Oryctolagus cuniculus: one gene and its partners. The protein of the gene in region 1 purifies or fractionates together with the protein of each later gene. This does not show direct contact. Links are inferred from orthologs where the notes say so. Each region holds a gene or a part of one and is shown on either strand. Other genes may lie near its edges.

Region 1 (2,888 bases):
AGAAAAGAGCTTAGGAGGTGGGCTGTATGGAATTATTTTAGCCAGTGCTTCCCTGGTTTCCTGGGAGAGCTTCAATTTGCTTTGTCCACAAGTAGAAACAGGATTGGGAGAGGAGACTCAGTCCTTGTACTTGTGAACTTTAATCCTGTGAGTGTGAGGTGGAATGAAATACTTAACAACATTATGTTATGGATATTCCCACTGTAAACTTCATAAATAGCTGGAAATTGGGCACATATCACAGAAAGAGGAATGCCATGGTTCCTAGAATTATTTAGGCAGAGACTGTGGAATGACCCAGTTGGGCCAACATTTATTGAGCACCTGCTTTGTGCCAAGGTTTGGGAGCATGCAGATGGGTAACACAGTTCCTGCCTTCAAGGAGCTTGAAATCAAATAGAAAAAGACAAGCACTTAGTGACAATTTCAGTAACAGAGAGAGTTCTCTGATAATAGAAAAAGGGAATAAGGACACAGAAGAAAGCGAATTTTAGCCCAAATTGAGGGGCTGAAGAGTCATTACTTTAGGTAAGAAATGGACAGATAATCCCTGAAATCTTTCCAGACTTTAGAATTTTGGCTTAGGTTTGGCTTTTCCAAATGAAAAAACCTAAAGCCTAGCAGTTTTGATGCTAATACTTAAGATAATAAAATCTTTGCTTCTAAGAGTTACACGGACTTGATAATTTCTCGTCATGATCGACTAGGTACGTGTATCACTGTCCCAGTTGTGTGGATGCTAAGATTGAGGCAGGCCATTCAACAAAAGCATTGATGGAGCTCAGTGATGGATTGAGTTCAGATTCCTCAGCCAGCTCTGTATAGGCTATGTCACTGGGTGAAAATTTGTTAATGAGTCCGCAGTTTCACCTTGCAAGCCTAGTTTTTCCAATGCATGAGTACTGCTGGCTGAAAGCTCCTCTCTGGTTTATTTTAGGCAAGTCCAACTCAAGGTCCAACCCTTTGGAATGGGAAGACACCTATGGAATTGCCCTGGTTTCCGGACTGAAGTATAAGAAGGGCAACCTTGTGATCAATGACACTGGGCTGTACTTTGTGTATTCTAAAGTGTACTTCCGTGGCCAGTCCTGCAGCAACCAGCCACTGACCCACAAAGTCTACATGAAAAACTCTAAGTATCACCAGGATCTGATGCTGATGGAAGAGAAGATGATGAACTACTGTACTACTGGCCAGATGTGGGCCCGGAGCAGCTACCTGGGGGCAGTGTTTAATCTCACCAGTGCCGACCATGTATATGTCAATGTCTCTGAGATATCACTGGTCAATTTTGAGGAATCAAAGACATTCTTTGGTTTATATAAGCTCTGATAAAAAAAAAAGTACTTTGGGATGCCATTACAATTCCTGTTACAGGCACCGAGAATGTTGTCTTGACTGAGGGTCTTCTTAGGTCCCTCTTGAGGTCAAGCCATGAACCATGAGGACCTGGAGACCACAGGGTCCAGCAGGTCTGCAGTTCCAAGTCTCACCCAAGGTCCATGGGCCAGGCAGGAGGAGGAAGATGACTGAAGAACATAGAACTCCTGGCTGTCATGTGAAGATCAAAAGCATTGAAAGGTCACTACCAGGCATTCTACATTCATGTTAAGTGGCCAAGAGAATTTCAGCACATTTTAAAAGATACCTTTTACCTCACCTCTTGAGGTGGGTCTACTTGCTACCTCAGCAGAGGATGCATTTCACGTATTTGGTTGTTACATGAGTGTGCAAGGGATGGAAAAGGACTTGCAAGATAAGCTAAAGAGACTGAACGAGTCTGATGCCTGCTTGGCAGCATCTTTACTTCGAAATTAGTAGCATGAGCTGCCAAGTGATGCTAACAGACAAGCAAGAGGGGTCTTTTGGGGACTCAGCTCATTCCCTACACTGCATGTGTATTTCCAGTGCAATGGTAGGGGTGTGTGTGTGTGTGTGTTTGTGTGTGTGTGTGTGTGTCTATGTGGGAGAGCAAGAGGGAGAGGAAGAGAGGAGTCACATATGTATGGAGTGTGAAAATTATGAAGTGCATTTTTGGAAAATACGGGTTGCATTTGGTGGTAGATGTGGAATGCTTCTTGGCAACCAACTCTAATAGTCCTCAAAAATCTCTGATGGTCAGCTGCTGCTGATGTTTTTCTTTATAAGCAATATTTATATCCATTCTGTATATTTTAATGAAATATTACATGGAGTAAACCTACTTTAGAATATAGATAAATATGAATACAGTTTTTGGAAATCACTAAAATTCAGTTTGTTGCTTATTATTTCTTTCCTCCATGATTTCTTCATTCTTCAGGACTTAGAACACTTGGAGAAGAATTTACTGGGGTGAGAACTGTGAGGCATCTTTCCATTTGGTCAGGTCTTCCTTTTCTCTCTACGTTCTCTTTCCTCTCCACTCATTATTATTCAGAGTTTCCTTTACCACTGTTAATGTCAGTGGTGAGCTTACCCAATTTTCCACAGATTTGATGGCACTTGCCTTATTCTGGGGCTGTGACATAGGGCAAGGGGCACAGATTTTGGGCTAAAGAACCTGGATTTGAATCTTTGCTCTTCCACTTTCTATGTTCCCTATGGACCTTCCTTGGACAAAAAAAAAAAAAGGCTGATGCATCCAGAGAGTATCTGAAACATAGTAAGACATAAAAATGGCATTTCTAATAAGCCAGTTCATCAGAGATACTGTATTCTCTAGAAGAAGTCACTGATCTATGGGATCCATCCAAACACTTGGTTTCTTACCTTCCCACACTTGTTGCTTGCAATGACTTTTCCTATTTTTAAAAAAAGATTTATTTATTGGGGCCAGCGCTGTGGCACAGCAGGCTAAAGCACCAGCCTGAAGTGCTGGCATCCCATATGGGCACTGGTTCTAGTCC
Region 2 (3,389 bases), on another chromosome or scaffold:
CGCCTTGCCTTCCTCCGAGGCCTCCTGGTGTCGCTCTGCCCTCCCTGTGCCCCCCCAGCCCGAGCCCCCTGCTGGTCCGTGGACACCCCAGAGTGGTGCCTGGTCTGTTCCTACCCCTCGGGCCTTAGTCTTGGCGGCAGAAAGCGCCTTGCCTTCCTCCGAGGCCTCCTGGGTGTCGCTCTGCCCTCCCTGTGCCCGCCTTGCCCGGGAAGGTGGGGTCCGGGCTCGCATTCCGGGTCCTGCTCTGGCCTACCTTCCTCGTTGCCCGTCTCACCCCTGGGGACCTTCCTGAGCCCCCGTGTTCTCCTGGAAGACCCCGCAGAGCCCCCTGCAGAGAGGTGGCATCCACCCCGGACTGGCCTGTGGGCCAGGCACCCCGTGGGCCAGGAAGGGGGTTGGGAGCCCTTAGGCAAGTACTGCCCCATCCAGGCCTCAGTTTTTCCTCACAGTAGTGGGGTGAAGGGTGGCTCTCGCTGGGCCCCCTCCTGGCCCTTGGTGGAGAGTCCCCTTCTGCCCAGGGCTGAACCGTGGGGGTGCCGAGTGGGCTGGGAGTTGGGGGCTGCAGGTTTTCTTTGGGGTGTTGTATAGGCAGCCCTGGGGAAAGGCCACTGTTGGCCAGCGAGCCACACACTGCCCCACCATGTGGGTGCCGCTCCTTTTAAAGGCGTGCAGATGCAGAGCCCTGGGCCTGGGCCGCTGTAGCTCCTCCCTCAGAGCGCTCTGCAGTGTCATTCAACTGGAGTGAGGGTAGCACAACCATCTGGGAGAGGCAGGCAGGGGGGAGCCGGCTGGGGGTGCCGCCTCCCTCCCTAGCCCTCCCCACCTCCTTGCAAGGCAGAGTCCCAGAGCGCCCCCCCTCCCCGAGGAGGCGGTGCCCGGCACAGGTCAGGTGCCCCCACCACCAAAGCGCCTGTGGCTCGGAGCTGCCAGGCTGCGCAGCGATCCAGATGCTTCCGCAGTGGCTCTCCTGTGCAGGTTCATCCCGCTGCCCATCTGTCACTTGCTCCTCTGGTCCCCTGGGGGCTGGGTGGGAGACACGGCAGGTGGCCTTGGCAGTGGGTGTGGTGGGGGCGGGGTGGGAGCCCGGGGAGGGCAGATGGGGGAGGGGGCACCGGGCGCTCTGGTGTAGAAGCGGCACCTGATCCGGGCCTTGAATTATGAATAGGGGCTCTGAGGGCAGAGGCCCGAAGGCAGGACAGGACAGGCTGAGCTGGTGAGCTGGGGGCCCGTGAGGAGCCTGTGCAGGGGCTTCCTGGGCCAGGTGCCAGGGAAGGTGCCACCTCGAGGGACCTCTTTCAGGTGCTGCCCAGAGTGGGACGGAGGGCCAGGGACTGGGAGGGACGGGGCCCGAGTCAGAGCCACAGACGCCTCACCATCCGCCAGGGCCCAGGCCTCGCTCTGGGCGGCACCAGGGCCCTGGAAGGATGTGGACAGAGGCAGGTGGTCAGGGAAACCGCAGGATGGCCAGAGCTGTGGTGGCACAGAGCCCAGGGAACCTGGCAGCGACCTCCCACCGGGGTGCAGGGAAGCCTTCCTGGACGAGGTGGCATCGGAGCTGAATGAGCAGCCAGCACGAGCGGTGCAGGACAGGAGCCCCCTGGTCCTGGAGGTAGATACAGGTAGCAGGGGGCTGCGGCGGCCGGGTCAGGACGTGCGGCGGAGCTGGGGGCGGGGTTCCGGGAGGGGGCGGGGCGCCCTCACGCCTGTCCCCTCCCCCCAGGCGCCTTCGCCAAGGTGAAGGAAAGCCAGCGCATGAGCGACGAGGGCCGCATGGCGCAGGACGAGGCGGACGGCATCCGCCGGCGCTGCCGCGTGGTGGGCTTCGCCCTGCAGGCCGAGATGAACCACTTCCACCAGCGCCGCGAGCTGGACTTCAAGCACATGATGCAGAGCTACCTGCGCCAGCAGATCCTCTTCTACCAGCGCGTGGCCCAGCAGCTGGAGAAGACGCTGCGCATGTACGACAGCCTCTGACGCGCCGCGGGGCCGGGCCGGGCGGGGGCGGGGCTGGAGGCGCGGGGCTGACCCCTCCAGGTCGCTGGAGGCCCAGCCTGGCCTCAGCCTCCCCCGGGGCCTGTCAGAGGCCTGCCCCGGGCGGGGTGGGGGGCGCCTCCGAGCGAGGGTCAGAGAGGAAGGCAGTGCCTATGACGCCGGCCGTGCCGCAGAGGGGTGCCGTTCCAGCGGTGGGCAGGACCGTGGGGAGCACCGAGAGGAGCCCGGCCAGCTGGGCCGGTGGATACGGCTGTCTCCTGTCCCTCTCGCTCTCGCAGGCACATCTGTGCCCGCTGCACGGCGATGCTGGCCCGCGCAGCCGAGGGAGGGGACCCCCGTCGCTCCCGTGTCCCTGGCGGGTTCCTGGAGCAGCGGCTGCAGGCCAAGCCCCTCCCACCGCGGACCCTGCCGTACCCCGCTCCGGTGCGGGGACACCCCATGGACCACAGGGGGTCCTGGTGGGCGCCTTCCTGACGGCGACCCGCATAGGTCCTGGCTACCTAAGTTGACCAGCAAGAACTCCCCACATTCCACACAGGCCCTGGGGTCTGCTCAGTCCTGCCCAATGCACAGAGGGGAGCCCCAGGGGAGTAAACTGGCCCCACCCCCACCCCGGGGCCCAGGCCCATCTGCCCTCGGCCAGCTTCACTGTGATGCACGCTCCTGCTCCCGGTCAGGTTGTGCCTGCCACCTATGTTTACATCCTCCGGGGTCGCTGCCTCCCCACGCTGCACCCAGGGTGTGGCCTGGCGGTGTTGGGGGCAGCTGACCTGTGCCACCGCGGCCCCCAGGACGTCATGAACTGCTCCTGGCTGCTGCTGCTTTTCTGTCTTTCTTCTCGATAAACCTTTCATGATTCGGACCACGGAACCGCGGCCTTTTCTGAGCCAATCCGGGAGGGTTGAGAGCCTGGGGGAGGGGCCGTGGGCCAGACTTAGGGGCCTCGGTGGGCGCAGGTCTTGCCAGGTGCTCCCAAAGGCAAGCTGGCTGGGGGGAGTGGGAGGTGGCCACGGGCCCCTGCTGGATGCCCTCCCTCCCGAGGCCTCCCTCTCCTCATCTCTGAAATGGGTGGCGCCCTGCCCCGGGGCCTGACTGTGCCCCTGCCCCATGCCCCTGAGGTGGGCTGGGGAAGGAGTAGGAGGCTGGGCCCCAGGATGGTCTGGGGAGCAGGAGCCTCCTCTTCCCCAGGGAGCCAGATCCCAGCCTCACCCCTGCAAAGCTCGGGTCTGGGCAGAAGGACGGAGAGACGCAGAAGCTGGGTCCTGCCTGGGCGGTCCCAGGGTCCAGGCCTGCAGGGGCTCCCAGGTTAGAGCTAACCAGGAGCTGATGTGTCCCTGGAGAGGCAGGCGTGCTGGGGGAGGGGCAGCCTGGGCTCCCTGCTGGGGGCGAATGGGTCC
Region 3 (4,388 bases), on another chromosome or scaffold:
TTTTCATGATATCTGTTAAATGAGATATGACTGGACTCAAAATGGTAAATTCAGCATTCTGCTGGTAGAGATTCGAAAAAATCCCAATAATCCCTTTAAAGTGTGCAGGTACTGATTAACTCTCTTCAGCCCAATGGAAGTCCTCCTAAAAGATGACTTCTATTTTTCTTCTATTGTGTTTATACCAATGGAATTTTTAAAAATCAAGATAGTCCAGAAAAACTGCACCTTCAAAGAAACATGTAAGAACAATACATACAAAAAGTTTCTCTGAAGAGAACTAGAGCCCTTCTCTGGTAAGTTCAAAAGGAAACGCAACACCACCAGGTACTCAAACACTGAGTTCATTCTCATCATTGCATAGTGACAGCATGCAGGTCGCTGGCATCTAAGACTTCATCAGAGGTTAGTGTTTACTGCATACTGAGTACACGCTCCCCACCTACCCAGTAGAGAAGGGGAAGTGGGAAGGGTGGGGGATTTGTATCGTGGACACAACAGGGACAATCTGCTTCTGTGGACAATGAAGAATGAGGCTCTGGCTGGACCCGAGAACCACCAGGAATTAGGAAAACCAGAAACTAAGGAAGGGGCCTCTTTCCTGAGGGCTGCCTTGCTCTTCTTTCTCTTAAAATGGCAAGTCTGTCCCAATGTAAACATGGAAATGGGGGCCTTGTGGAACCGGGCTTAGAAAACTGAATGCCAGAAAGACCGGAATTCGCCTTCAGAGTAGGGCAGATAACAAAGCAGAAGGCGCTTACACATCCTAGGGCTTGTGTTGAGTGAGCCAAGCACAAGAACCACTGGCCTGGGGCCGGCGCCGTGGCGCAGTGGGCCAAAGCCCCAGACTGCAGCACCAGCATCCCATGTGGACGTCGGTTCGGGTCCCAGCTGCTCCATTTCCAATCCAACTCTCTGCTGTGGCCTAGGGAAGCAGCAGCAGATGGCCCAAGTCCCTGAGCCCCTGCACCCACGTGGGGGACCCGAAAGAAGCTCTTGGCTTTGGATCAGCTCAGCTGTGGCCAGAGTGAACCAGTGGGTGGAACATCTTTCTCTCTGCCTTTCTGTAGCTCTGCCTTTCATATATATAATCAATCTTTAAAATAATAATAAAAAACACTGTCCTTTCCAATTTTATGAAAAAAAAAATCAAGTTCAGGCCTAGTTACCAAAGAAAATTTTCATCGCGTGTACCTGCATTAGTCCCTAAGCTGTGCCAGTCACAGGCTGCTTTGAAATTGGCAAGACAGTGAGTGTGTAACAGGACGTGTCACTGGTAATTTCTGAAATGCTTGGCAACAAACTTCAGAATCACATTTCCTTAGTTCTGGACTTAAATTTTATTTTAAGAAGGTCAACACAAAATCAGTACATGTCAAAAAGGTGGCAAGTTCTATCACGTCTAATGAAGCCAGCATAGTCAATCACATATTGACAAGAAGGCAATGATTTCCGGCAAGGACAGCCCTGGATGGATTCTGGACACGTTCATCAACAGGTTGGAAAGGCGATCAGACAATTCTGATCTTTCAAAGCGATTTCAAACTCCCTATCACTTCCTGGAATTATCCCTCTTACTTAAAAACCAACACCACCAATAACAAAAATGGAAGGTGTTCACCCACCCAAAAGGGGCTTTGGGAGGCTCAAAAAATACATGTGGAAAAGGGTGCTGTTTAACGAAGTGCCATTACAAAATCCACGCGGAAGGAAACCCACTGCCCACACCAGCTCGGGGTGGAAGCCCCTGCCCCGTCCTCTGGCTGCGCCCCTGGCTCTCCCCGTGACCACATCAAGTGTCCACACCAACGAACTCCCGAATGCGCCCAGGAAAGCGGGGAGGGGGGTCTCGGCTTTTGCAGACTCAGGTGGCAAAGGGTGCCTGCTAATCTCACAAACCAGACCGTAGAAGCAGCAAACCACCACTCCTGGCTCATCACCAGGCAGGAGTCAAAGTTCCATCACGTAACTCGGGCCTGGGCCTTTTTTTTTTTTTTTTTTTTTCAAGCAAACACGTAATCGAAAGCGTACTCATTTCCCTCTTGCTGTTTTACTCAGACTGGCAACACCATTCAACATGAAAAAAGCAGCAAACCCGACGAAAAACACTCCGAAGTGAAGGCGGCGGGAGCGCCGGGGCTCCCCTCCCGGGATTTAAAGCGCCGCGTCCTGCCGGGCTGGGGTTCGGGTCCCCACACCGCCCCGGGCGTCCAGGGGCCACCGTCCGGCCGAGGGAGGGAGGTGGAGGAGCCGCCGGACACCACGCAGCGCCGGTCGCCTGCGGACCGAGCGGCCTCCCGGGACCTCCGGGGCTGCGGGAACTTTAGGTCCCCGGCGCGCCCGCCTGCAGCCCCCGCTCAGGTGCTAACTTTGCAAACCGCCCGCAGCCCGGGGTCCCGCACCCACCCGGGGTCTCGACCCGCCCCAGGCCCGAGTCAGTCCCCGACGCCCGCGCTCCCCACCAGCCCGGCCGCCCGTGCTCCCGGCCCTCCGGCACCCACGGCCACAGGGTGCTGGCTGGGCCGCGGGCCGGCCGGGGGACCCCACGGCGAGCGCTGGAGGCCGCCGTCGGCCTTCGCGGCGCCCCCGGGACGGACCCTCCCGGCGCCGAGCGGCCGGCGGGGCCTGGGCCGCGCGCCCCTCACCTTGGTGGCCATGGCGGGCGGCTCCCCCGGCCCGGGACGGCCGGCTCGTTTCCCGCGCCGCGGCTGGTCGGCCCGAAGTCGGGCAGGCGAGGGCGGCGGCTACGGCTGGGCCCCGGCGCGGCGGCGGCGGCGGCGGCGGCGGCGGCGGCGGCTCCGCCTCAGCCCTGCTCTCGCGCTCAGGCCCCGCCGCTGGCGCTGGGCGACTCCCGCCGCCGCCCGCTCCTGCAGTTCCTGAAAGTCCCCGGCTGCGCGGCCCCCGCCCCTGCCGGCCAAGCCTCCCATGGACCGCGGCGTGCGCGGCGCGGCCGGCGGAAGCGCGCCCGGGGCCCGCGGCCGCGGCCCGGCCTCTAGGCGCACTGGCCGCCCCCGCGCCGAGCCCCCGCCCCGGGCGGCCGCCGCCGCCGCCTTCTGTTCGAGGCTGGGGTCGGGTGCAGAGCCCGGGTCGCGGCCCCCAGCGGCACCCCCATGGCCGCCCCGCGTGTGGTAGAGACAGGGGCCGCACTGGGGAGCGCCCCGCCGAGGGAGCCGAGCCCCGGCCCCTGCACACACGCCGGCCCCGCGGCTTCCCCGTGCGTGAGGCGGGAGGGCGGCCACAAGAACTCTCGACGCGCCCCGGCAGGACCGGAGTCGCCCGCCCGGGGTCTCTGCGCCACTGTGGGGTCGCTTGTGCTCAGGGCCGAGGCCCAGGGGTGCCACACACACGCACACGCACACGCGCGCGGCGAGGCGAGGAGCTGAGCAATGGCTTCCAGCGCCCGCCCGGCTTCCCTCAGGCGGCGGTCCCGGCCGGGCCGGGAGGCCGGGGCACTTACTCCCGATCCGTCCCATTAGCCTCCTTCTCGCGAAGTTTAAAAAAGCCCCAGGACCCCAGAGGGTTGGTGAAATGGAGATGAGAGCGCTGAAAATTTTCCCTCTTTTCTCCAGAGTTGGGTCTGCGGGTTTTGTTCATAAACAAACGACTTAGGTGGAGCAAGATTTTTGACTCAAGAACAAGACAAGCCTGGGGCGTATACCTTTATTGGGAGAAGATTGTATTTTGGTTTTGTTATCAGGGATGTGTTTGTTGAAAAAGAACCATCAGATCAGCGTTATTAGGCTAGGGGAATAGAATCTCGAGGTAATGTGAAATTTGTGTCTGCTCCTAACTGCTGTGTTCGACCTCGGGAGACTTCACTTAGCCGCGGTCAGTCATGGTGTGTACCTGTGCTACAGAATGGGCTGTCAGTCTCTTCGTTGAGCTCACTGTCGAAGCCCTAGTCATAATTTTCATAAAAAGGTGTGGTTTTTTAAAGATTTATTTATTATTTGAAAGGCAGAGTTAACAGAGAAATAGAGGGAGAGAGCCAGAGAGAGAGAGGTCTTCCATCTGCAGGTTCACTCTCCAAATGGCTGCAACGGCCCGCAGCTGTGCCGATCCAAAGCCAGGAGCCAGGAGCTTCCTCTGGGTCTCCCACGTGGGTGCAGGGGCCCAAGCACTTGGGCCATCTTCTACTGCTTTCCCAGGCCACAGCAGAGAGCCGGATCAGAAGTGGAACAGCCGGGTCTACCCGTTATGCCACAGCACCGCCCCCCCAAACATTGAAATTTGAAAATGACATAACACAGCTGGGAATTCTGATTGTTACAAGTAAAAAAGATATTCATCAACAAGCATTGTTCTGTAATAACCCCAAACGGAAAGCAAACTGTGTTTGCTCATAGGACTATGTCAATAAATAAGGCGCATCATACAAACCAAATCCT

Evidence for each region.
Region 2: the proteins of FASLG (region 1) and SNX33 purify together in Homo sapiens (co-immunoprecipitation; 3 studies listed by BioGRID and IntAct, counting the BioPlex papers as one, with this or other methods). This does not show direct contact. The link is inferred for Oryctolagus cuniculus from reciprocal best matches to the Homo sapiens genes FASLG and SNX33.
Region 3: the proteins of FASLG (region 1) and SNX9 purify together in Homo sapiens (co-immunoprecipitation; 3 studies listed by BioGRID and IntAct, with this or other methods). This does not show direct contact. The link is inferred for Oryctolagus cuniculus from reciprocal best matches to the Homo sapiens genes FASLG and SNX9.

Annotation. Positions count from the first base shown.
Region 1 is NC_091438.1:1,347,439-1,350,326, forward strand, and holds the end of FASLG (tumor necrosis factor ligand superfamily member 6), read left to right. Parts: intron 1-937; coding exon 938-1,332; 3' UTR 1,333-2,251; downstream 2,252-2,888. UniProt on the Homo sapiens protein: Cytokine that binds to TNFRSF6/FAS, a receptor that transduces the apoptotic signal into cells. Involved in cytotoxic T-cell-mediated apoptosis, natural killer cell-mediated apoptosis and in T-cell development.
Region 2 is NC_091443.1:108,355,193-108,358,581, reverse strand, and holds the end of SNX33 (sorting nexin-33), read left to right. Parts: intron 1-1,720; coding exon 1,721-1,974; 3' UTR 1,975-2,862; downstream 2,863-3,389. UniProt on the Homo sapiens protein: Plays a role in the reorganization of the cytoskeleton, endocytosis and cellular vesicle trafficking via its interactions with membranes, WASL, DNM1 and DNM2. Acts both during interphase and at the end of mitotic cell divisions.
Region 3 is NC_091436.1:9,859,938-9,864,325, forward strand, and holds the start of SNX9 (sorting nexin-9), read right to left. Parts: upstream 2,851-4,388; 5' UTR 2,658-2,850; coding exon 2,646-2,657; intron 1-2,645. UniProt on the Homo sapiens protein: Involved in endocytosis and intracellular vesicle trafficking, both during interphase and at the end of mitosis. Required for efficient progress through mitosis and cytokinesis. Required for normal formation of the cleavage furrow at the end of mitosis.